Linked DNA regions of Arabidopsis thaliana. The protein of the gene in region 2 interacts with the protein of the main gene of each other region in a pairwise test. Each region holds a gene or a part of one and is shown on either strand. Other genes may lie near its edges. The genes, in order: AT2G24860, ACD32.1 and HCF244.

Region 1 (7,279 bases), on a different chromosome or scaffold from region 2:
TGAATAGACTTAACTAATATTTTTGACCCAAAAAAAAACAAAAACAAAAGACTTGCTGTGGTCTGCGGGCAGTGGCTGGTTCTTATTGACTCAAATGTCACATATTTTTGTTTATTACCCGAATAACTAACCATTATGTATTATTACTGTTTTTTGTTTGCTTTATTTAAGAGATTAAAAGGTATATAACACAATCTATAAAGGTTAAAAACACACAAACTAATCCGAACAGGAACCAAGCAAATTAAAATTATCCAATCAAAACACTCGAAACTAAACATTTAACTATAGCTTAATGTTAAGTATAACGCAATCAAAGAGTCAAATGGTTATGCGTGCGTCGTGAATGACATTGCGCGTATAATACCTCATTTACAATAATTAAAGAGGAGATCATGGAGAAGATCTTTTTTAATTTTCTTTTTGGGCTTCCAAGAACATACATTATGAGAACTAGAAACAATATTATATTTTCTGAAGCCATTAGGTGTATTCAATATTTCGATTATATCAAGCATCTAGAAAATCCTCTTGTTGAGCTCATTATTAAAAAGACGGTTTCCATTTTCCATTTTCAGATATAGCCTATTAGTTAATTCTTACTACCATATGTATGTGACTATATCTGATTACAAAAGTTTATAGAAATTTATGTGTAGGATAAAAAAACTATTAGTGGAACTAAGGGGTGTCAAAAGGGGTTAACCCAAATCAATCCACCAAATTTTCCGTCAAAAACACATTATTTTTCTAAAAATACAGTTTCACAAAAAAGAAGAGATATAGAAAGTTGGATCAGATGAAAAAATGCATCTAATTGTGTAAAATTTAATAAAACTCTTATTTACGATTATGTAGTTTTGAAATTTTCTTCAATACACCGTAAAAAAAATAAAAAAAAATAACCTGCTGGTGCGTTGGTAATTTTTACTCAAAATAATTTAGTTTTTGTGCAGTAAATATGTATCTGGAAAGTTTTGTGACAAGTAAAACTAAAAGGGGCAAAGTAGAGGTATATATAATGGAGGAAACGGCGAACCACTGTGTTCGAGTGCCCTCTTACACTCTAGACATGAACACTTTTGAAGATTTCCTCATCACTTGGGAAATGGAATGCACACTGACACAAGTTCTTCACTTAGCAGCTTTGGTTAAGAATTATCCTGAAATCAAATGCCATTTTCACTTCCCCAAAAGAAAATGATTAAGTAACTAGCTTAGGTTGGATTTGTTAGGCACAAACTGTATCTAAGATGATGATAATCGCAATTCTATTAGAGAAACGCCATATCCAGATTCATCAAGGGTAAGGAAGATGCACATGATTTAACCCTACAACGAGAAAATATCAAAAGAAATACGAAGGTGACCCTGTGCTACTAATGTTCTTCCGTTGAGCTACTCCAATGATCGAAATCGTAAAACTCACGTGTCGATTACAAGAACTCTTGTGTAGGCCTTTGGTTGTACAGACAGAACAAGGGGAAATGAATAAATGAACTTACATATATATACTTAACACATGTATAAAGATATATGCATATCTGATTCATGTTCCACTTGAATCAATATATAAACATTTTTCCTCCATAAGAAATCATCAAAGACCAAAAAGCTTAACTTGCTTTTGTTCATCAGTTATGTTGGCACTGGAGGTTTTTCCAACCACTTGGCACGAAACCCCGTTCCTTTGCAATCGCTACAGCTAGCAGAACCCTAAAACCATTGAAAGAATCGAATTTGTTCATACTTGGGAAGATATATAAACAAGAAGACACAATAATGTGTCTGCACTTTCGTTTTTATTAGATAACAAACCTGTCCAGAGCAGATTACACATGAAGTATTCCTTGAGGGAACCTGGCAAAGCATGTTATCACCAAGGATGAAGAATCCTGTACCCGCACACCATTTGCATTCCACATGACCCTTTGAATTGCACGATGAACATCCAACAGGACTTGGTTGCTGCAGTGAAGAAAAAAACAGACAAAGAAAATCATTGAATCGAAACACAGGTCAACAAGTAACATCTAGAAAATTCACACGAGCTCAATATCAAATTGCAAGTGCTAGAAGAAAGGCTTCAAAGTCTGAACTTTTGATAGATTCTCTAAGAGCAATATTAGAGAAAAAGCAGAGAATCCAACAATTGTACATGCAAAGCTACAAAACTACATTGCGTTGCGAGATAAGCCTGCTTAAGCCTCATCACTCAGGGATCATAGAGAACAGCTACAACCTGATTAAGTAGCTAACATGTTCTCATCATATGCACAAATCAAATGAATTGTGAACAAACATTTTTTGCTAGAAACCAACTAAAAGGTACTTTGCAATTACAGATTTTCGATACAAATCCTTTTGAAACTTGCTGATACTATTCACCTCATAATCTGAAATTTACAACATTTCATCACAGATCCAAGTTCTTAATCTCATACAAAATTGCATATAGCTCTTCACTCGTACATGACTACATCAAGGATCAGTTCTTGTGATTACTCAGATTCAACAAAATTATACACATCAACAACTCTCTGGAGATACGAACCTGTGAGATAATCCAAGCTTGATCCATACGCTTGGCGAAATTTGAAGAACTCTCAGGTGAATCCACCGCCGAAGCCTTGACGGTAGTAGTAGCTGGAAAACGGCGAACGACTGGTACGAAACCTAGCTTCGTTATCCTAGGAGAATTCCATGGATTTAGAATCGATTTCGCTACGAGATGTGAATCGCAACACATGCAAATCGTCATTTTCTCTTCTTCTTCTTCTTCTTCGCCGAGAAGGTTGAAATCGGAGGTTTAAATTTGTCTTTGGCTTATTTTTATTTTATTTTATTTTTCTCGCATACCAAATTGGAAGACAACAGGAGGAGGAGAAAAGTCTAGGAATAACCCAATTGGGTTATTGGACCCTGGGCCCATTAAAGTTGGATCTTTTTGTTTGCTAAAATGATTGATTCAATGATTTAAACCAACTCATTATCTCCTCTACAATTCCTTGGATTCTTCCTACAGTCAAAACAAAATCCAGATTGCTTGTTTGTTTTTGGTTTGCTTATATGATTGAGAAAATAATTTTTTTCTATGTATAAATTTACTAGTTTTAAGATGATAATATAACATTTTTTTTTGTTCTTACATAGATTGTTAAATATTTTTAATTTAACCAATCATACACTTTTATGCATATTAATCGATTTTCCAATATGTTTGCCGCCTTCTTTGTCTAAATAGATTCCATCTTCTCTTGCTCTCCAGTCCCATATACCTCCTTCATCCATAAAACCAGAAAGCTTGAATGCTGTAAATTTCTGATAATGTTTATAGTTAGGTCCTTGTTCCAAATGACACATAAAACGCGTCGTACGCCAAAAATTAATCATAAAATTGATTTCAACATGTTTGCCGATTGGTATTGTTTTTGGACCAAATTTGTCATCTTTGGAATAACATCCAATCCTGAGAAGTTTATTGAATTTGAGTTCGTTGGTGATCCTGATTCCAGAGCCGAATACATGGTCAAGCATGCAAAAACTAAAAACGAATAAAAAAGACTAAACAGTTTTTCATTTTTTTTGGGTAGATATTTAGATTTTTGCTTTGTTATTGGCTTTTGTGTTTCAGATTTTATATATGCACACATTTGTATTACTATTGTTGGCATAGTATGTAAAATGGCATAATATCTTATAATAATCATATTAGATATACATAAATCTATTAATATTGAATTATGAAAAAAATGATAAAATCAAGTAACCAGTTGTAGATAATATTAAACCTTATGTGAAAGATCAAATGATAACTAAGAAATTCAATTGTGCATAAAAAAATCCTCAATAATAAACTGGTTATTCTATAAATCATATCATACTATCTATGTAACCTATTAGTAAATAAAGTATTTGTTTTTAAAAGTAATAGACAATTTGTAAAGTACAATAAACAACTAAGTAGAGAAAGACAAACTAAATTAGGTTTATACATTTTGTTCTTGTAATAACGTTCTTGTGATTACTCAAATTCAACAAACTCAACAACTCTCGAAAGATACGAACCTGTGAGATTATCCAAGCTTGATCCATATGCTTGGTGAAATTTAAAGAACTCTCAGGTGAATCCACCGCCGAAGCCTTGAAAGTAGTAGTAGTCGGAAAACGGCAAACGACCAGTACAAACCCTAGTTTCGTTCTACTCCGCAAATTCCATGGATTCATAATCGATTTTTTTACAAGATGTGAATCGCAACACATGCAAATCGCCATTTCCTTCTTCTTCTTCTTGGCCGAAAAGGTTGAATTCGGATTTTAATCTACTCGGGCCTCTCGGGTTAAAACATTCTCTATTTAGCTCCCATTATAAAAAAAAAAATATGTTTATCTAGTTTTTTTTCTCCAAAAAATAGTAAAAGACAAATAAAACAAGGGGTTTTCACTTATTTACGATCCAACCATTATGTTGTGTTGTGTTTAATTAAGATTTTAATTCACTCTATTGATTGTGTTGTGTTTAATTAGGATTTTATTTAAGGTTTCATTCTATTGATTGTGTTGTATTTAATTAGGATTTTATTTCATATTAGATTTGATGGTTTGATCCTTTTTTCTTTGATTTTGGGTGAAACGGATAGATTTTGGATAAAATTTTGATTACAATTAGGATTTCTTATGATTACAATTCGGATTTGAATTACATTTTGGATTTATAATCGAAATTGTCCTTTAAATAGCCTCTCGTAATAGCCATTGTGACTAGTTTTTATGATTACAATTGGGATTTCAAGAAATTTGAATTTTGTTATTAGAGATGGTTTGTGAAATGTATTAAAACCAAATATTATGAGATTGCTTTTGAATGATAAAAACTAGAAGAAAAGGGGAAGAAGGAAAAGAAGAATGGTAAATTTTCTTGTTTCAAGATGATAAGATAAAATATTTTTTGTTCTTAGGTAGATTGTTAAACATAATTTAACCAATCATACATTTTATGCAAATTAATCGATTTTCCAATATGTTTGCCGCTTTCTTTGTCTAAATAGATTCCATCTTCTCTTGCTCTCTAGTCCTATATGCCTTCCTCAACCATAAAACCGGAAACCTTGTATGCTGTAAATTTCTGATAATGTTTATAGTTAGGTCCTTGTTCCAAATTACACATAAAACGTGTTGTATGCCAAAAATTAATAGTAAAATTGATTTCAACATGTTGTCCTATTGGTATTGTTTTTGGACCGAATATGTCATCTTTGGAATAACATCCAATCCGAAGAAGTTTATTGGATTTGAGTTCGTTCGTGATCTTGAATCCAGAGCTGGATACATGGTCAAACATGCAAAGACTAAACACGAATAGAAAGATTGAAAAGTTTTTCATTTATTTTGGATAGATATTTAGATGTTTTTCTTTGTTATTGGCTTTTGTGTTTCAGATTTTATATATGCACACATTTGTATTACTATTGTTGGCATAGTATCTAAAATGGCACATAATATCTTATAATAATCATATTAGATATACATGAATTTATTAACATTTAATTATTAAGAAAATGGTAAGGTCAAGTAACGAGTTGCAGATAATACTAAAACTTATGTGGAAGATCAAATGATAACTAAAGTAACCAATTGTGCATAAGCAAATCTTCAATAATTACCCTATTAATTTATAAATCATATCATACTATCAATGTAACCTATTAAGTAATAAAGTATTTGTTTTAAAAATCTTACTTTAAAAGTAATACACAAGTTGTCAAATACTATAAACAGCAAAGCATATAAAGACAAATTAAATAAGGTTTGTGCATGTGTTCTTGTAATAACGGGTGTCAAAAATATGAAATGGTAACCAAGTCCCCATCCCATATTGGTCATGATCATGTCTCATCCCTATGGACCTGATCAACCAGCAATAGCGACCAAAATTGTTTGTTTGCATGTTGTTAGTTTGGTGACTAATTATATCAATTGTCACCAACGATTACAATTTTCAATCGATAGAATTATCAGCTATTATCAACTATTACTGGCTGCGTTTGGTCGTGAAATCCAGAAGAATCCAACGACAAGCAAACAAACAACATAAAGATAAAATAACAAACCTGTGTTTTTCTTTTTGGAAAAAGAATCCATTACTTTTAGTATTGGGCCAAAGCTTTAACGATGGACCAAAGTTGAACAATTATCCCACTATGTGCAACCCTAATTCCCTTTTGCAAGATTGAATGTTGGTGATAGTTCGACAGCTGCAAGGTAATGAATGGCAGATCAGAGTTGAGCTAAATATCGTCGAAAAGTAAGGCCAATTTTGAGGTTAGGTTACGTACTAAAATTGGGGTTGAGCAAAAGAACCTTAAGGTCACAAATACAGTCCAGTAAAAGCTTTCTACCCGGAGATGGTGCATCTGTCGGTCCAAGAGTGGAGAAGCTTTCTATCCGGAGATAGTGCATCTGTAGGTCCAAAAGTGGAGACTGTTGACTAGGTGAAGCTCCGGTAGTAATCATGTTGTATTTGCCACACCATATAGTCAACAGTCTTCAAGTAATCAAAACTTAACTCTTAAAGCGATTCAGTTGACCTCTATAGAATTGAATAACAATTAGTGTTACAATAATTGAAGGAAGCATAAAAATGAAAATCCAAATACAATAGGTAACAAAACTCAAACGTAAATGTAGTCTGGTAAAAAATTAAATGGGAGATTAACTGTGATGGGTAAGAAATTAGGTGTTATTACCAGAACACGACAGAACTTTTTTTAATTACTGTTATATTTTCGAGTTTTTTTTATTACCCAGCGTGCCCCTACTAAACGTTACCGGAAAAAACGTAATTACAGGGAATGCCACTGCCACGTCAGAATTTGCTGACGTGGATTAAATGAACTCAGCCGGCTGAGTTACGGTATGTTGCGGCTGACTTACGTCAAAAATATATGAGTCATAACAAAACGGCGAAGTATGAGTATAACTCAGCCAGACGTTACGGCTGAGTTGTAAAATGTTGCCTGAGTTATTGTATAACTCAGGCAACGGTATGGTTGAGTTAAGGATGGTCGGCCGAGTTATAAGAAGTTATACAATAACCCAGCCAACAATATGGCTGAGTTATGAGAAAAAGGCTGACTTATTTCCTCGACGCGGCCGAGTTATAGTTTTGATCGGCTTAGTTATGGAAAGATGTTACGGCTGAGTTATTGTCGAGTGAAATAAATCAGCCGCCAATAGCTGGTTTACGATATAACTCAGCCATGTTATGGCTGACTTATTG
Region 2 (7,279 bases):
ACCATATCATGTGAATGTATCAAAAATAATTCTTAGGGACTATTTTCTTGATCATCCATCTCATCAAGAATCACATATTTTCCAGTCTGACTTGGAGCTTGTAACTGCTTCTCTTCCTCTGTTTTGTGCCCCTTTTGTAGTTTATCATATCTGACAAGACATCAAAAGCATACACCGTTCGGTTCCAATATACAAATTTGACATTGTATTCATTTCTCAGCATATTAGATGTTTAAACAAGCAAGAGTTACTTACTTGTACCAGTTGAACAAACTGACACCAACCATAATGATCATCAGACCCACACCTTTCAGCCACGTAAATTCGTCATGGAAGTAAAACACTGCAACCTGTTTTGCACAGAGTCAAAGAACAACACAATGAAGATTTTACATCCCCAAATATATCAGCAGCAGCACTGATACAAAATTCTTCTGGAGGCAGGGACATGTAGTTTAAGCAAATTCTATAGTGAATGAGAAGCCAGTTCTAAAGACACTAGTTCTGTTTTATCGAGTATGTCTATTAAGAGGCCAGACATGAACTCATAATCCATTCTAGAAAGCAAACTCCAAACAGGTGTGTCTATTTATATGGCATATGACCAATATAATCTCACCATCTTAAGATATCAGTCCCTTGTCTAGAACATCACCGCAAGGTTTCAATCAAATATAGTTCAGACTTTCTAGCTTAAGAATACGAGGAAAGTAGAACTTACAAGCTAGACCTCATCAGTTAGATATTCCAAAAAGTTTATGAATATAGGACATACCACTATGGTGACAGCCTCTTTGACAACTCCCGCTATTGTGACGGTTACAGCACTAGTTACGGAAACAAGGACATACTCTGTCAAAACCTGAAAGAAAATATTAAATAGTGAGCATGGAAGACTGATCACATACGAAACTAGAGTTTCATAAGATGCTTCAACCTCCACCTATCAAAACAAGTTCACTCTTACATAAGGTTTGTAAATTGTTTAGTAAATGCTCACCATACAAAAAGCCAGTGCTCCGCCAAAAAGCATCAAAAAACAAGTTCGAGCAAAATGTGCTCCACTATCAAAGTATTTGTTGTCTCTAAATTCACTCCATGGATCCAGAAGGAGAGAAAGAAGACCAGTCGCTATAGCCATCACTGGTGCCACACAGCTCATGAATATGAATGGATTTTTCAGTCCTAGATAAACAAAACAAAAACAAGTATAAATTTATTTCTAGGTCTTGTGACTTATAAGAAACTAAGAAAGACAATTATAGATTTGAAAACACCAAGAGCAGAACCCACCAAATGTTTCTTTCTACACATCATGTTGTCGTCAGAATGGAGCAAAACATCGGAAGACAAAAACCACAAAAAGTAAAGGTAAAGAGTTAATATATAAAGATCCAATGTATGGTTTAACAGAAATTAAAAACTGAGTTAAAGAATATACCTGCAAAAGAACTTGCGTCATACACCAGCGGAAACCAGACATGACAGCAGCAAGCATGACAAAAACGAAACCCCAAAACTCAAATTCTGTCTCCTTTGCAACTGATGGTGAGAAAATAACAAGTTTAATGGCTTTGATTTAGGAAAAAAAATTCAACTAAAAACTTCTAGATAGATTTTGTAGCAAACAGGTCCAGGAACAACGGAGTACAAAGCAATATAAATGACAAAGAAAAACATACCTGTTAACAACACTCCTGCTGAGATCACTGAAATAATGCCAAAAAGTTTCAGGCTTGGAGACTCCAGCCTAACCAGCGAAATATTGTGTCAGGATAACACATGGAGTACAAAAAATTGTAAAGCACAAATCAGGATAAAATAAACAATTAATCGTTATGTATAAAGCACCTGAAGGCAAAAGCAAACAGAAGAAGAAATATTGGGGCTGCAGATTTGCACTGCAAGTGGAAAAAACACATGCATATCATTAGACAAGTCTCACCTTGTTTCACCCGCAAATTCCAAAGAAGTTGCATAGACCTACCATAGTATATAAAATAACTAACCATTGTTGCAAATGTAACCGATATGAAGACAAGTGACTCGTTACTTAGGTTTATATCCATAGCAGTTCCAAGCGCTGTTGGTACAACTGCGAAAGGACAGGCCATGTGGGTAATCAGTTTATGGAAATATAATATATTCAACTTTCGAAAAACTGAAACAGAAAAAACACACTAAATCTTCCCCTCTCGTCCTCACTAAATACTGTAGATGATAATTGCATTGCATAAATTGCAGAAAGTTCTCAGTACTATGTAGTGAGAATAAAGTAGAAAGTAATGGCTAAAGGAATGCCCTGGTTTTGTTAGTTTACCTCTAACGAAATAGTCTCTCCATGATATGGTAACATCAGGCTGAAATCTCCCCGACCAATACCATGTTATCATCTTTGATAAAACAGCTTGAATAGAAAAGTGAATGGTATTCATTAATAAGGGAGCAGGAAATTTCCCTAAATCATCTCCTAAGAGAGTTTTGTTGTACCTAGAAAATAAGCAAGTAAATTAAATGCTAGTTGTATGGAATTAAAAGAAGAAAAAGAAAATGTTAGTCGCAAAGACATACTTACAGAGTCAGAAATGTGCTGAAAGTGTACCATACAAGTATAAAGAAGAGTGTTTTAAGCACGTCAGCAGGAGAGATATCTACTTTTGACGCTTTAGGCAATGTTTCAAGGGTATCACCGGAACTGTAACCAACATCAAAACTTCTGGAGCCGTTTGTCTCCTTCCCGGTCTCATTTTCAATACCAAAAGTCTCTAAAACCTGTTCTCTATCTACATCTCCCTCATTGGATATGGTTTCCATTGTACCAACACGGAGCTGCACTCTTTGCTCCATCAATAATCTGAACTCACCAGCAAACCTTTTCGGCTTCCATTCACAGACAACTGTGACAAAGCATGCAATCTAGTAATCCAGCCTTTCTTTACTCAACAGGTATTTAAAAAAACACGAGTACCCCTGTAATGGACAGCTCTCTTGCCTCGGAATTTCAAGGAAGAAAGTTTTATATTTGACCCATACGCATATGTTCAAATGGTACAGTGTCCAATTCTCTCTGGCATATCCCAGTGGGCTAATTGAATTAGGAACCTAAGATGTTGGTGAATATGCAATGCAGTTCTCTGGAACTACTTGACCTAGAATCACAAACACAAGCTCAAGTAAGTCAAGTATTTCTGTGAGAAATTCCTCTGGAGAAAGTGGAAAGCAAAGCAAACAATCACACAAGAGCCACATTTCAATAAAGGCAAGCTTCTCTAATACGCCGATGCAAAGATTCAAACCGAATGAAAGGAAGCTACATTTAATCTGATAAGAACCAAAAGAGTTCACCGACAGAAGAAATTGAATACATAAACCATTCTTTAACAGGGCCGCTTCAAGAAGAGATTAATACGTCACTATTGGAACCTAGAAAAAGCAAACACGTAAAAAGAAGGAAATCTATTCGAATGAATCTGAGTTTCACGAAATCAGATGTAATCCAAATCAGGAAAAGCTCAATGATTCTGAGCTCAAAAAAAGTAACGCAACAACGAAAAGAGAACTCCTCGCAATCAATCTGGATCGGGAGTGAGCTCAAAATTCATAGATTCAAAGCTAACGAACGCGGACTATGAAATCAGCATAATACAGATAGGGAAAATCAAAATTTCGCCAGAATGGAAGAAAGAGACCTACAAAGAGAGAAGAATCGGCTCGTTGGATCTGATCGAAGCTGCAGGAACTTTGTGTGTGTGTTTGAAGATAGATTGATTTTGGAGTCGCAACCGCAGGTTGTTGGAGTTTGGTGAATTTTTACGAAATCATTACCGCTCGGAGTCTGCAATGCAACTTGCATTTACCTTTACACAGATTATATTTGTTTTCACAAGAATTAATAATTTTCATTTTTAATGGAGTTCGCGTTTTGACAAAAAAAATATTGAACCAAAAAAGAAAAATGTTTTCCAATAAAAACGAGTCGTTGTCATTTCTTGTCCGTTTCCGGAAGAAAATATCTTTTAATCTTCAAGCAGATATTTTCGAATCCAGCGCGCGAAGTTAAAGCCACTCATTTGTTTCATCGATCCTACTTCCTCCTGTGTCACTGCAATCACTCGCTCGTCCTTTTCTCTATTTCTTCACCGATCGAATCAATCAGAGATGGAGCATGAATCTATCACCGCTCGACGCAGGCTCGCTGCCTTCGCCGCTCACTTCCCGGCAACCAGTTACGATTCCGCCTCCACCGCATCTCTCGTCCCCTTGGTATTCCCCTTCTCTTTTTGTCTCTCGTTTCCTTATCTGCAAGCCTAGACCCCAAGGATCCGACGGTTTTCGAATTAGACTTTCTGTATTTCGTTCTCCTATGGTTTCTTAACTTGGTTAGATAGTTTTTCTGATCCCTTGACCGATCTCGAATCTCGATGTGGATTTACTTGCAAAATTGGAGCAGATCGACCAAGTACAAGAACAGTTAGTCTGATTCATTTTGGCTTAAACCTTGATTTCGTTTAAGGGTGTTGCAATGGAAAGCTCAAACTGTTCAATTATTGAAAGTCATATCATGCTTATGGATGTGTTTTTTTATACTTGACTCTGCCTCAAATAGGTTGGTTCACTGATTCCTTTATTTTGGTCTAATGGATCTCTTATTTGTGTTATGCCTCAGAACTGCAGCAGCAGTTTGAACACTGTCATCCAAAGGTGTGACAACAAAATCTCTTTTGCCCGGCAAGCATCATCTGAACAGGGCTTTTTTATGAGGCCAGCTTCACCCGATGATGTCCTTGAGGTACCATAAGTTTTTTATTATGTTTTGAAGTCCCTCCTCCTTCTTCTCTGGTCACTTACTGTCTAACTACACTTAGTTAACAAAGTCATATCTGTACTGTAATGTAAATATGCCCACACCATTAACCTCTTCTGTCACTTGTGATGATGATTCAGAACTTAGGTATGAATTTGAAGAACACTGTCGTTAGAAGGGGTGACAACAGGCTGTATTTTGCTCGGCAAGCATCTTCTGCACAAGGTTTTTTTATGAGACAGGCTTCGACTAATGAGGTACCATTAATTTCTTATTATTATTTTTCAAAGTTTCTCTTCTCATCTATACTTCTGTAAAAGAGAATTGATTCAAAATGTTTTTTGCAGAGGACCATACCACATGATGCTGCTGCATCTACCAAGTTTTCTGCTACCAAAACAACTGGCTTCGATTCTTCTTCACCTGCGTACGCTGCACCACACTTTTCTAAGCCTGCAAAAGAGGACATCTTTTTTCCTTCTTTATCACCAAATCTGCAAAAGGAAAGGCCTAAGCTTGATCTTCCTAAGTTAGCCAATTTAGGTACGAATACAAATATAGGTGTATTCCACTCCAATAACACTACTTTTCTAGTCCTATTATAACCTGATACTTTTCTTAGAGAACTTAATGATTTCTGTAGTTTACAAACACACAAATATTACTAGGTATAACTACTAAAGGTGGTTTCTCACCAGCCTTGATCTACAGAAACTAGCATCCGTACTTCAAACAAATCCGTACAAATGAACATGAGAACTTACTTAAAGAAGTTTTTTTCCTTTTGCAGGTACTGTTTGGTCTCCCAGATCGAATGTTGCTGAATCGACACACAGCTATGTTGTGGCAATAGAGCTACCAGGAGCCAGTATCAATGATATAAGAGTGGAGGTTGACAACACAAAGTAATCCTGCTGATACACATCTTTTTTCAATCTGTTCCCATTACTCACACAGTAAAAATGCATTGTGTAACAAAGGTACTTACCGTTCTGCTGCAGCTTGACTGTGACAGGTAGACGCACATCTATCTGTCAAAAAGTTGATGCAGGCACCAAAGCTTCGATCCTTGGATATCATAAGCAAGAAATACTACAAGGACCATTCAAAGTTTCCTGGCCACTCCCCAGCAATGTGAACAAGGATAATGTTTCCGCTGAATTTATGTAAGTAGAAGCTATACTTACTAACAATCTAACCGTATGATCAAACAACTATTCTCCTTAAATCTTTCAATCCTAGAGTTCATATGATAGATTCTGCCTGTAGGTTTTAGCTAGTAGTGCACACCTAAAAAGTAGTCGTTTTAGAATCCAATTTTACATCTTAGTGCCAGTCAGTCATTAGCTTGAATTAGTTTAGATAGAATTTAGCAAGTTTTATAAAGAGCACTAACATCCAATTTATTATTGCGTTTGAAACAGGGATGGGATTCTGAGAATAGTAATTCCAAAGCTTTGAGGGTTCATCGTTCTGAAACCATATATAGATACGGTAAACATTGTGTGTGATATAGCAGTTTGTGTGGAAAAGAAAAATATCAAATCATGAAGAAAGTTTGGTCTTTTATGTAAAATAGTTTGGTCTTTTATATATCACAGATTGTAGACAGGCATTACTCAAAGTGAAGCCATGTAAACAATCCATAAATATATAAAAATAAAATCTTCATTACTACTACCAAAAGCCAGAAAAGAAAAAGAAAAAAAAAAGAAAAAAGCTCAGAAGCATCTAATCATCCTAAAGCTGGGGAAATCTCAATCTACTCAACTACGTAGCAAGCATTATTGTTGTAATAATTAGGAACTGGTCCAAGATAATCAACAGTAGCAGATGGCGTCTGAGACGGGTATGCAAAAGTGCTTGCAGGTAGATGAGTAAGCTGCACATACGTACCGGTAGCATTACAGAACGCCCATGGGGCACCTGAAGGATCGTAGGAGACAAGCTGAGGCTGCTCATAGTTCTGGACATATCCATTGTGGAACACAGGATATGAAGCTACATTCTGCTGGCACATCAAAGGAAGAGTCGGCTCTGGCACAGGCGCAGGGGCAGGGGCGGCAACGAGGTTGCTTTTCCCAATTCCATAGATCAATCCTCTAGCAAATCTGGAATCTTCATAGACATGTTTAAGCTTGATGAAGACAAGTGCAGTCATTAAGCTGTCTGAACCAGCGTGATGTGCTCTTCCCACACGAGTGATCTGAAGTAGCTGGGCTAGTTTGCTTAACCCGAGGTGTTCACCTAGTCCTTCACAGAATCCAGCCATGACCTTGGTGTCGTAAACTTGACCGAACACTTTGACAACCTCTGTTGCAAACTCGCCGTGAGTCTCTGGTAGCTTGCCATGATTGAGGATACTCAAGAAGTAAGCGAAATCGTAAGCTCCTTGGAAAGTGACGAACTCAACGTGTTTCTGAGAACGAAACACAGTCATAAGCTTAGGGAAAAACCCGTAGCCGAACATATCAA
Region 3 (7,279 bases), on a different chromosome or scaffold from region 2:
TCATATTATCTTATTGGTATGAGACTGATGTTGTGTTGCCATATACTATAGTTAATCGCCCCATTTGCATACTATTTAATCTCGTCATTTGCATATCATGCTTTCAGGGAATCTTTTAAATTGTACTTCTGTGACCTTGTCTATGTATACTTACTACTTTGCATACACTATTGTTCGTTAGAGCAGTAACTTCACTGTTGCTAAGTATTAACCTTTCATTACTGTATGTAGTAGCGTCTTTTGGCTTTTCCCCCCTTTTATAACAGCAATTTATGAAATGTTTTGCAGGTAACGCCGAATCTCTATGGGAATTTAGTTGCAAACACTGCTGCTGGTATTGCTGGAGGCACAGGAGTCATGCCTGGAGGTAAAAAAACATCCTGTATTGATATTCTCTCGAGCTATACATTAGTGGATAAAGAATAGTTCTAAAATTTATACATCTGCGACATTAAATACAAAAACAGGAAATGTTGGGGCTGACCATGCGGTATTCGAGCAAGGTGCATCAGCAGGAAATGTTGGGAAAGACAAGATAGTATTGGAAAACAAAGCAAACCCAGTGGCATTGCTTCTCTCATCAGCGATGATGCTTAGACACCTTCAGTTTCCTTCATTTGCTGACCGGCTCGAAACAGCAGTGAAGAAAGTCATCGCTGAAGGAAAGTGCCGGACGAAAGATCTTGGTGGAACAAGCACGACTCAAGAGGTCGTTGATGCGGTCATTGCAAAACTAGACTGACTTTGACAAATTACGTGTTCCCGCTCTGCATAAATCATCAAATTCCTGATACAGATTTTGTGTTGCCAAAATATGGGGTATGATCCAAGCACAACGGTTATCTGGTTTTGTACCTCGAGTTTTATTATATTCTTTAGCCGTGGAATATTTCGATAAGAAAAAAAAACATGTTCCAAATAATTCATGTTGCTACGTTTGTTGGCGCCTTTTGTCATGTCAAAGTTTCTTAAACACTTGTTCGTGGAATATGCAAACTTTTATGGATTCGTAATTTCAAGAATATGAATGAAAAATTGATGGTATCTTTGATCACCTCGAATGGTGGTTTCTTAAGAGCATCCACATTGGTTAATTTTTGATGGATGTTTTTAAATATAAAACTTTATTTTAAGAGGTTTTTGAGTAGTTAAGAAACTCTAACGTGTCATTGTGTGTGTGGTTGAACATTGTGACAACATCATTTATTTATTTTTCTTTTCGCGTTTTTCTCTCTTTTTTAGTCCATATGATTTTTAATATATATATCATATTTGTTTAAAATTTTAATATTTGTATTATTTATTAAGTTTTATAAAATAAAATATAAATAATTTTTATTTTAATAATAATATATTTTTTTAAAAGACCCACTTAAACATTAGACCAAAAAAAATTAATGGTCCAACAAAAACACTTTAATTTTTTATAATTTAAAATTTTAAAAAACCCTTTTAAGGGCTCAACCATTGGGGTTGCTCTTACTCCAAGTCTTTAATTTAATTTGTGAATTAACATTGACTAATTTTAAAATCACTTGAAATTGTTTCATCGGATTTGGGATGTCACATTTGGTACCCGGCAAGTTCGAAAATGACTTTTAAACTTTGACACCTCTTGCCTCTTGGTAGAGTTTTGGATGAGGCTTGAAACTTTTGTATTGCAGCCCATAACTGAAAATAGTTTATTAGTATAATATATCTTCTCAACAAACATTGCAAATATTTTGAAAATCCAGCTAAAACTATACCCGATCAGAATTAGAAAATTTGAGCCCAAGCCCGGCCCGTAAGTATTATTATAGAAACCGATATAAAGTTTCCTTTTTCTTAATAATATTTATTCCGTGGCAGCAAATGCAAGCCAATCCAATGTCAAAACACCAGCTGACGTGGCCAAACGCACATCAACTGTCGTCTCTCTATCTCTCTCTCCCTCACTTGTCTCTCTCTCTTCTCTTCGACACTGATGGCTTCGCTCAGGCTCCCCGCTCAACTAGTTACACGTGGCAATCTCATCCACCACAACTCTTCATCCTCCTCCTCCGGGCGTCTGTCTTGGCGACGTTCTCTCACACCGGAAAATACAATCCCGCTCTTCCCATCTTCCTCATCCTCATCCCTTAACCGGGAACGATCAATAGTAGTTCCGGTTACATGCAGTGCTGCAGCGGTTAATCTTGCTCCGGGGACACCAGTCCGACCCACGAGCATCTTGGTGGTTGGAGCCACTGGAACTTTGGGAAGACAAATCGTCCGGAGAGCTTTAGATGAAGGGTATGATGTTAGGTGTTTGGTCCGACCAAGACCAGCTCCCGCCGATTTCCTCCGTGATTGGGGCGCCACCGTAGTCAATGTACGTATTCACATCTTCCTTTAAAGTTACTCAAAGTATTTAAATTTGTCCAAAAGAGAACTAAAACCGGAGTTTTGTGTGGTCTTAGGCGGATCTTAGTAAACCGGAGACAATTCCGGCGACTTTGGTCGGGATTCACACTGTAATTGATTGTGCCACGGGACGTCCTGAAGAACCTATCAAGACGGTAAGCTTCTAAATTATATCTTTTTGTTAAAGACTCAATCTTTAGCCTAGTGAGACTTATTAAAGTTTGATTGGCTTGTGTGTCTAATACTCAGTTTCATGCCTTGGCTTGTACGTTTGAGTGTTGGATTCAGTTTTCCAATGTGATTGAAAGTTATGTGTGTTCGGTTTAGGTAGATTGGGAAGGAAAAGTTGCTCTGATACAATGTGCAAAGGCAATGGGGATTCAGAAATACGTCTTTTACTCAATCCACAATTGCGATAAGCATCCTGAGGTTCCTCTCATGGAGATTAAGTACTGCACTGAGAAGTTTCTTCAGGAATCTGGTTTAAACCACATCACCATTCGGTTATGTGGTTTCATGCAAGTAAGCCTCATTCCCCTGAACTTATGCGTCTAGTTGTCCCTGAAAGTGAGTACATGATGTTGAATGTGGTAATGGCTGATTGTTGTTTAATCCAGAGTATACTATGCCTATGGCTATGCAGGGTCTTATTGGTCAATATGCAGTTCCAATTCTGGAGGAGAAATCGGTTTGGGGAACAGATGCACCAACGCGTGTTGCTTACATGGACACACAGGTGAGTAATCAAATGAAGATGTACTCCATTTCTCTGTGTAATATGTGGATGAAACACATAAAATGATCTAAACATGTTCCTCATGCTATAACAGGATATTGCTAGGCTGACACTTATAGCTTTACGTAATGAGAAGATCAATGGAAAACTTCTGACTTTCGCTGGCCCTCGTGCATGGACAACACAAGAAGTAAGCAAGGCTATAGTTACCGCTCTTTTGAATGAAAGGAATAGAGAAATATTACTAAAGCATAACCTTTTACTACCCTTTTGTCAATTCAGGTGATAACACTATGTGAGAGACTTGCTGGGCAAGATGCAAATGTCACAACCGTTCCAGTTTCTGTATTGAGAGTCACGCGTCAGTTAACTCGGTTCTTTCAATGGACAAATGATGTCGCGGATAGACTGGCCTTCTCAGAGGTAAGATTTGGCCTTCATCACCAAACAATGATGCTTTTGTAGTTTGTTTCATAGTAGCTTTTCAGATCAGCTGAAATCATGCTTCTAACATATGTGTGACACTGGTACGTTTAGGTTCTCTCGAGTGACACGGTCTTCTCTGCTCCGATGACTGAGACTAATAGTCTACTAGGTGTGGATCAGAAGGATATGGTGACTCTAGAGAAGTACTTGCAGGATTACTTCAGCAACATATTGAAGAAACTAAAGGATCTAAAGGCACAATCCAAGCAATCAGACATCTACTTCTGAGTTTCTGACCTTGTAGTGTCTTCATAAGATTCAACACTATTTATAAACTGCATTTGCAACCATACTGTGAGATTCGTTGTTGCTCTGTTCTTCAATGGTTATTGTGCTTCTTCTTGTAATTAAAGAGAATTATTGTAATGTAAATGTAGCTTGAGGTGCCCAGAGAGATTCTTTGTTACCTTGAGGAGAAACCAACAGGTAAAAAAAGATAATGAGATTCCCTTACAAAACCATCTCTGTTTGACTTTTGTTCGAGGCTAGGGCTGTGAGCTTCTTGTTACAGTGTTTTCTTCACCTTAAAGTCTTCTTCTCATTCATTGGTTCTTGTTAATGTGAATAAAAGTGAGAAAGCTTTTGGCAAATGAATAGTAAGATGAAATAAATGCAAGTGTTAGTCTCAATGTAACTTTAGAACCTAACAAGTGGAACAAGATCATTCATTATCTATGGTTGAAATTTGCTACCACTTTTTGAAGAATCGAACAACTGCACCAAAATCCGTAAGTCGTGAGTCTATTACTACCCATTTAAGAATCCACAATGCTCAAAACAATGATCCATTGGATATCCAACTCCTTATCTCGACCAGCAAATTCACTTTTAAGATCAGAAGTAATAAGTGTTTGCAAAAGGTGTTGTTTGAGTTGTTAAATCAGTATCTTAAAATAAAATCTTTTTTTCTTTGCCCGAATATTATTTCGATCTAACTAATTTGTAGACACATACTAAGATAAACAACACATAGGGATAGTACGTACGATCATGTTTAAAAAATCAAAACCTGAAAAGGAATTATAAAGAGGAGAAAAAAATGTGGAATCTAATCATAGGGTTAGGTCGTTGATTATCATTTAGGTTGTCTTGTCTATGTCTTTTCGTATTATATTTTCATTGATTTTATTCCATTGATGTAGTACTAGTATTAAAAGTAATGAAAGAAGAAATAACATGAAACCTCGAAACCACATTCACATTCTGTGTTCTCCCCTAATTGTTCTGGCCTACCTAGACAGCGACCCCGATGCTTAACCAAAGACAATCGATCCGTTTTATGAATAAAAATTAGTTACATTTTTTTACACATTATTTTCTAATTAATACCAAAAAAAAAGTCCACGACTACATAAACTAAGTCCATATAGAGTTAAAAAAAATACTAGGTATGCATTATTGATATATCTCACTTCACTAATGCCAAATTGCCAAAGGTACACGTTTGTTCTGTTTAAAACTTTTCAGATCATTTTGATTTGTTTCTCAACTTGAAAGTCGATCGTAGGAGGAAAAATAATCTCAATAATAGAGGAGTAAATGAATAAAAAAAAATAAACATAGACACATGGAAATATATAAGTGGCATGATGACCAAAGTGATCTCCATCCAACTACAAAACTTTAGTGGCAGAGAAAGAAGATAAAATCCAATGAATTAATGCTCTTCACAATCAGATCAGACCAGTCTTTATTTTTCTTTACTATATATACTTTCTTGTTAATTGGTATTTAGATATTGGGAGGGACAGTTGCTTTCTGTTGGATATTCTCTTTTCCTTTTGACATGGCTTTCGCATAAATATTTAACCTTTTCCATAATTATTGTGATTTTATAAACTGAATTCTATATAATTCATGAAACCAATTTTTTATATTCAAATAATAAGTATTAAAACGATACTTATTGTTTTAGAAATAGAAGAGTTTAAATAATTTTAACACAAAAAGCAAAGTCGTTCACTCCAAAAAAACAATTAAGCAGAGTCTGCAAAGCTTATGAGAAGAACTCTGGTTCCAAGGAGGAACAAGAAGAAAGTCAAAGCGATTCTTTCGAGTTGAAATCTCTGCTTCTTTCTTTTTTTGTCCTTTACAGGAAAAAACGAAGCTTTTCTATTCGTTGGCTTCACGAGAATATACTCTTTGGTTTTAGGACCCTTTGTTAAATATTTTTCTTTTACTGTAATTAACTAATTGTATCGATTTTAGTAATTTATTTGTTTTTCCTTGACCATTATTTTTTGAAGTTATGTCGTATAATATTCACAAGAATACTGGGAATTTTATAATGTAGGCTTTGCCATGTGATCTATAGCGGCATTAATTAGTTTAAAGATTCATATACTGATATACCTAGAGGCTAGATTTGCAAATTTATTTTATGAGAAACATATAAGTGGGTTAGTGGTCACACCTTTGTAGTTTCTCTATCAAATCTAAAGCTTGAACTTTTGTCTAATCAACCTAAAGAAATTTGTTATTAAAAATCAAAAGTTACCTCAAAATATCTCATCCACTACTGTCATATATAGAAGGAGAGTTTCTTGCAGTGCGGATCACAACAAGCCACCCAAAACATTCGCAGCAATGGAAACATTTCCCTTATAATTCACAACACTTGGATTTTCTCTTTTTCCTTATTAAAGGTTTCTATCGAAAACACACGACACCTCAAAGTCATACATAGCACATGATGGTTTGGTTGAACCACCAGACAAATAAATATATCAACTCAGAAGAAGAAGAAAAAACTTATTTCGATTAAAAAGGAACAGTGTATCAAAAACCCAAAATTTCCTTAATTAAGTACTTGTATGTACTGCATGCATAACATGACTAAAAAATTACTGTACCCTCCCTAAGACTATATAGTATTAATACAAGTATTAATACTATATACACACATAATTAATACTATATACACACATAATTAAATATGAAGCTAAGTGAAAAAAAGCATGTGTATAGTGAACCTTTTTACGCCAGTGAAATGTGTCACCTGTCGTCGCCCAATTATTCTGTGCCGAATTTTCTCCTTCTTTCAACCCTTTCTTCTGTGTTCTCTTTATTCCTCCTATAAACCCTAAATTCAATCCCCTTGCATTAATGACCATCGCATTAATAACCATAAATATATCTTACTCACCAGTACTTTATTCCAAATTCACCACTAAACAGCAGAGGAATAAAATAGTTGTATGGATTATACTAGTTTTAGATTTGTTTCTGTATGCGTTAATAATGCATAACATTATCTATCACTGGCATATACGATTGCGTTAAGTATAGATAAATGATCAGAACTTATCAGTATTTGCCCAAAAAAAAAAAAAAAAAAAACTTATCAGTCTATAATGGAGTTGTATTCTACTGATTTGCATATGAAATCGTGACATTTGAATAAGTACTTCCTTAAATTGAACCGTTATCTTAACAATAGGTAATATATCATGCAGATACTTTGCTCTTAAATTGGCAGAAGAACTCAACTTTTTACCAGCGTTAATTTTTTAGAAAATTTATATATGTATTCTCTATGGCTCAGTTTAATACATCAACGTTTTACTAATTTTGGCCACAACTTACATTACATAATTCGTGTGTACATATGTAAACTGGAAACCAAATGAATATCAGCAGCTTAACACAACACTTAGAATCTCCGGAATGGGT

The links.
Region 1: the proteins of ACD32.1 (region 2) and AT2G24860 interact in a two-hybrid assay, tested with the Arabidopsis thaliana proteins (one large-scale study listed by BioGRID).
Region 3: the proteins of ACD32.1 (region 2) and HCF244 interact in a two-hybrid assay, tested with the Arabidopsis thaliana proteins (one large-scale study listed by BioGRID).

What each region holds. Positions count from the first base shown.
Region 1 is NC_003071.7:10,585,480-10,592,758, forward strand, and holds AT2G24860 (DnaJ/Hsp40 cysteine-rich domain superfamily protein), read right to left. Parts: upstream 2,938-7,279; 5' UTR 2,762-2,937; coding exon 2,555-2,761; intron 1,969-2,554; coding exon 1,819-1,968; intron 1,717-1,818; coding exon 1,639-1,716; 3' UTR 1,164-1,638; downstream 1-1,163. Other genes in the region: AT2G24870 (Plant self-incompatibility protein S1 family), read right to left, coding at 3,181-3,321, 4,069-4,095; AT2G24880 (Plant self-incompatibility protein S1 family), read right to left, coding at 5,075-5,383.
Region 2 is NC_003070.9:1,966,294-1,973,572, reverse strand, and holds ACD32.1 (alpha-crystallin domain 32.1), read left to right. Parts: upstream 1-3,916; 5' UTR 3,917-4,158; coding exon 4,159-4,263; exon of another isoform or gene 4,264-4,666; coding exon 4,667-4,789; intron 4,790-4,944; coding exon 4,945-5,061; intron 5,062-5,151; coding exon 5,152-5,347; intron 5,348-5,594; coding exon 5,595-5,709; intron 5,710-5,805; coding exon 5,806-5,970; intron 5,971-6,228; coding exon 6,229-6,265; 3' UTR 6,266-6,486; downstream 6,487-7,279. Other genes in the region: AT1G06470 (Nucleotide/sugar transporter family protein), read right to left, coding at 33-150, 256-350, 776-862, 1,001-1,185, 1,294-1,306, 1,442-1,542, 1,683-1,750, 1,852-1,901 and 3 more; AT1G06450 (Polynucleotidyl transferase, ribonuclease H-like superfamily protein), read right to left, coding at 6,567-7,279.
Region 3 is NC_003075.7:16,767,957-16,775,235, reverse strand, and holds HCF244 (NAD(P)-binding Rossmann-fold superfamily protein), read left to right. Parts: upstream 1-1,779; 5' UTR 1,780-1,966; coding exon 1,967-2,353; intron 2,354-2,441; coding exon 2,442-2,540; intron 2,541-2,712; coding exon 2,713-2,907; intron 2,908-3,028; coding exon 3,029-3,121; intron 3,122-3,215; coding exon 3,216-3,311; intron 3,312-3,403; coding exon 3,404-3,544; intron 3,545-3,658; coding exon 3,659-3,835; 3' UTR 3,836-4,163; downstream 4,164-7,279. Other genes in the region: IDH1 (isocitrate dehydrogenase 1), read left to right, coding at 289-367, 468-742. UniProt on the Arabidopsis thaliana protein: Auxiliary factor required, together with HCF173, for the biogenesis of photosystem II (PSII), especially for the synthesis of the reaction center proteins (e.g.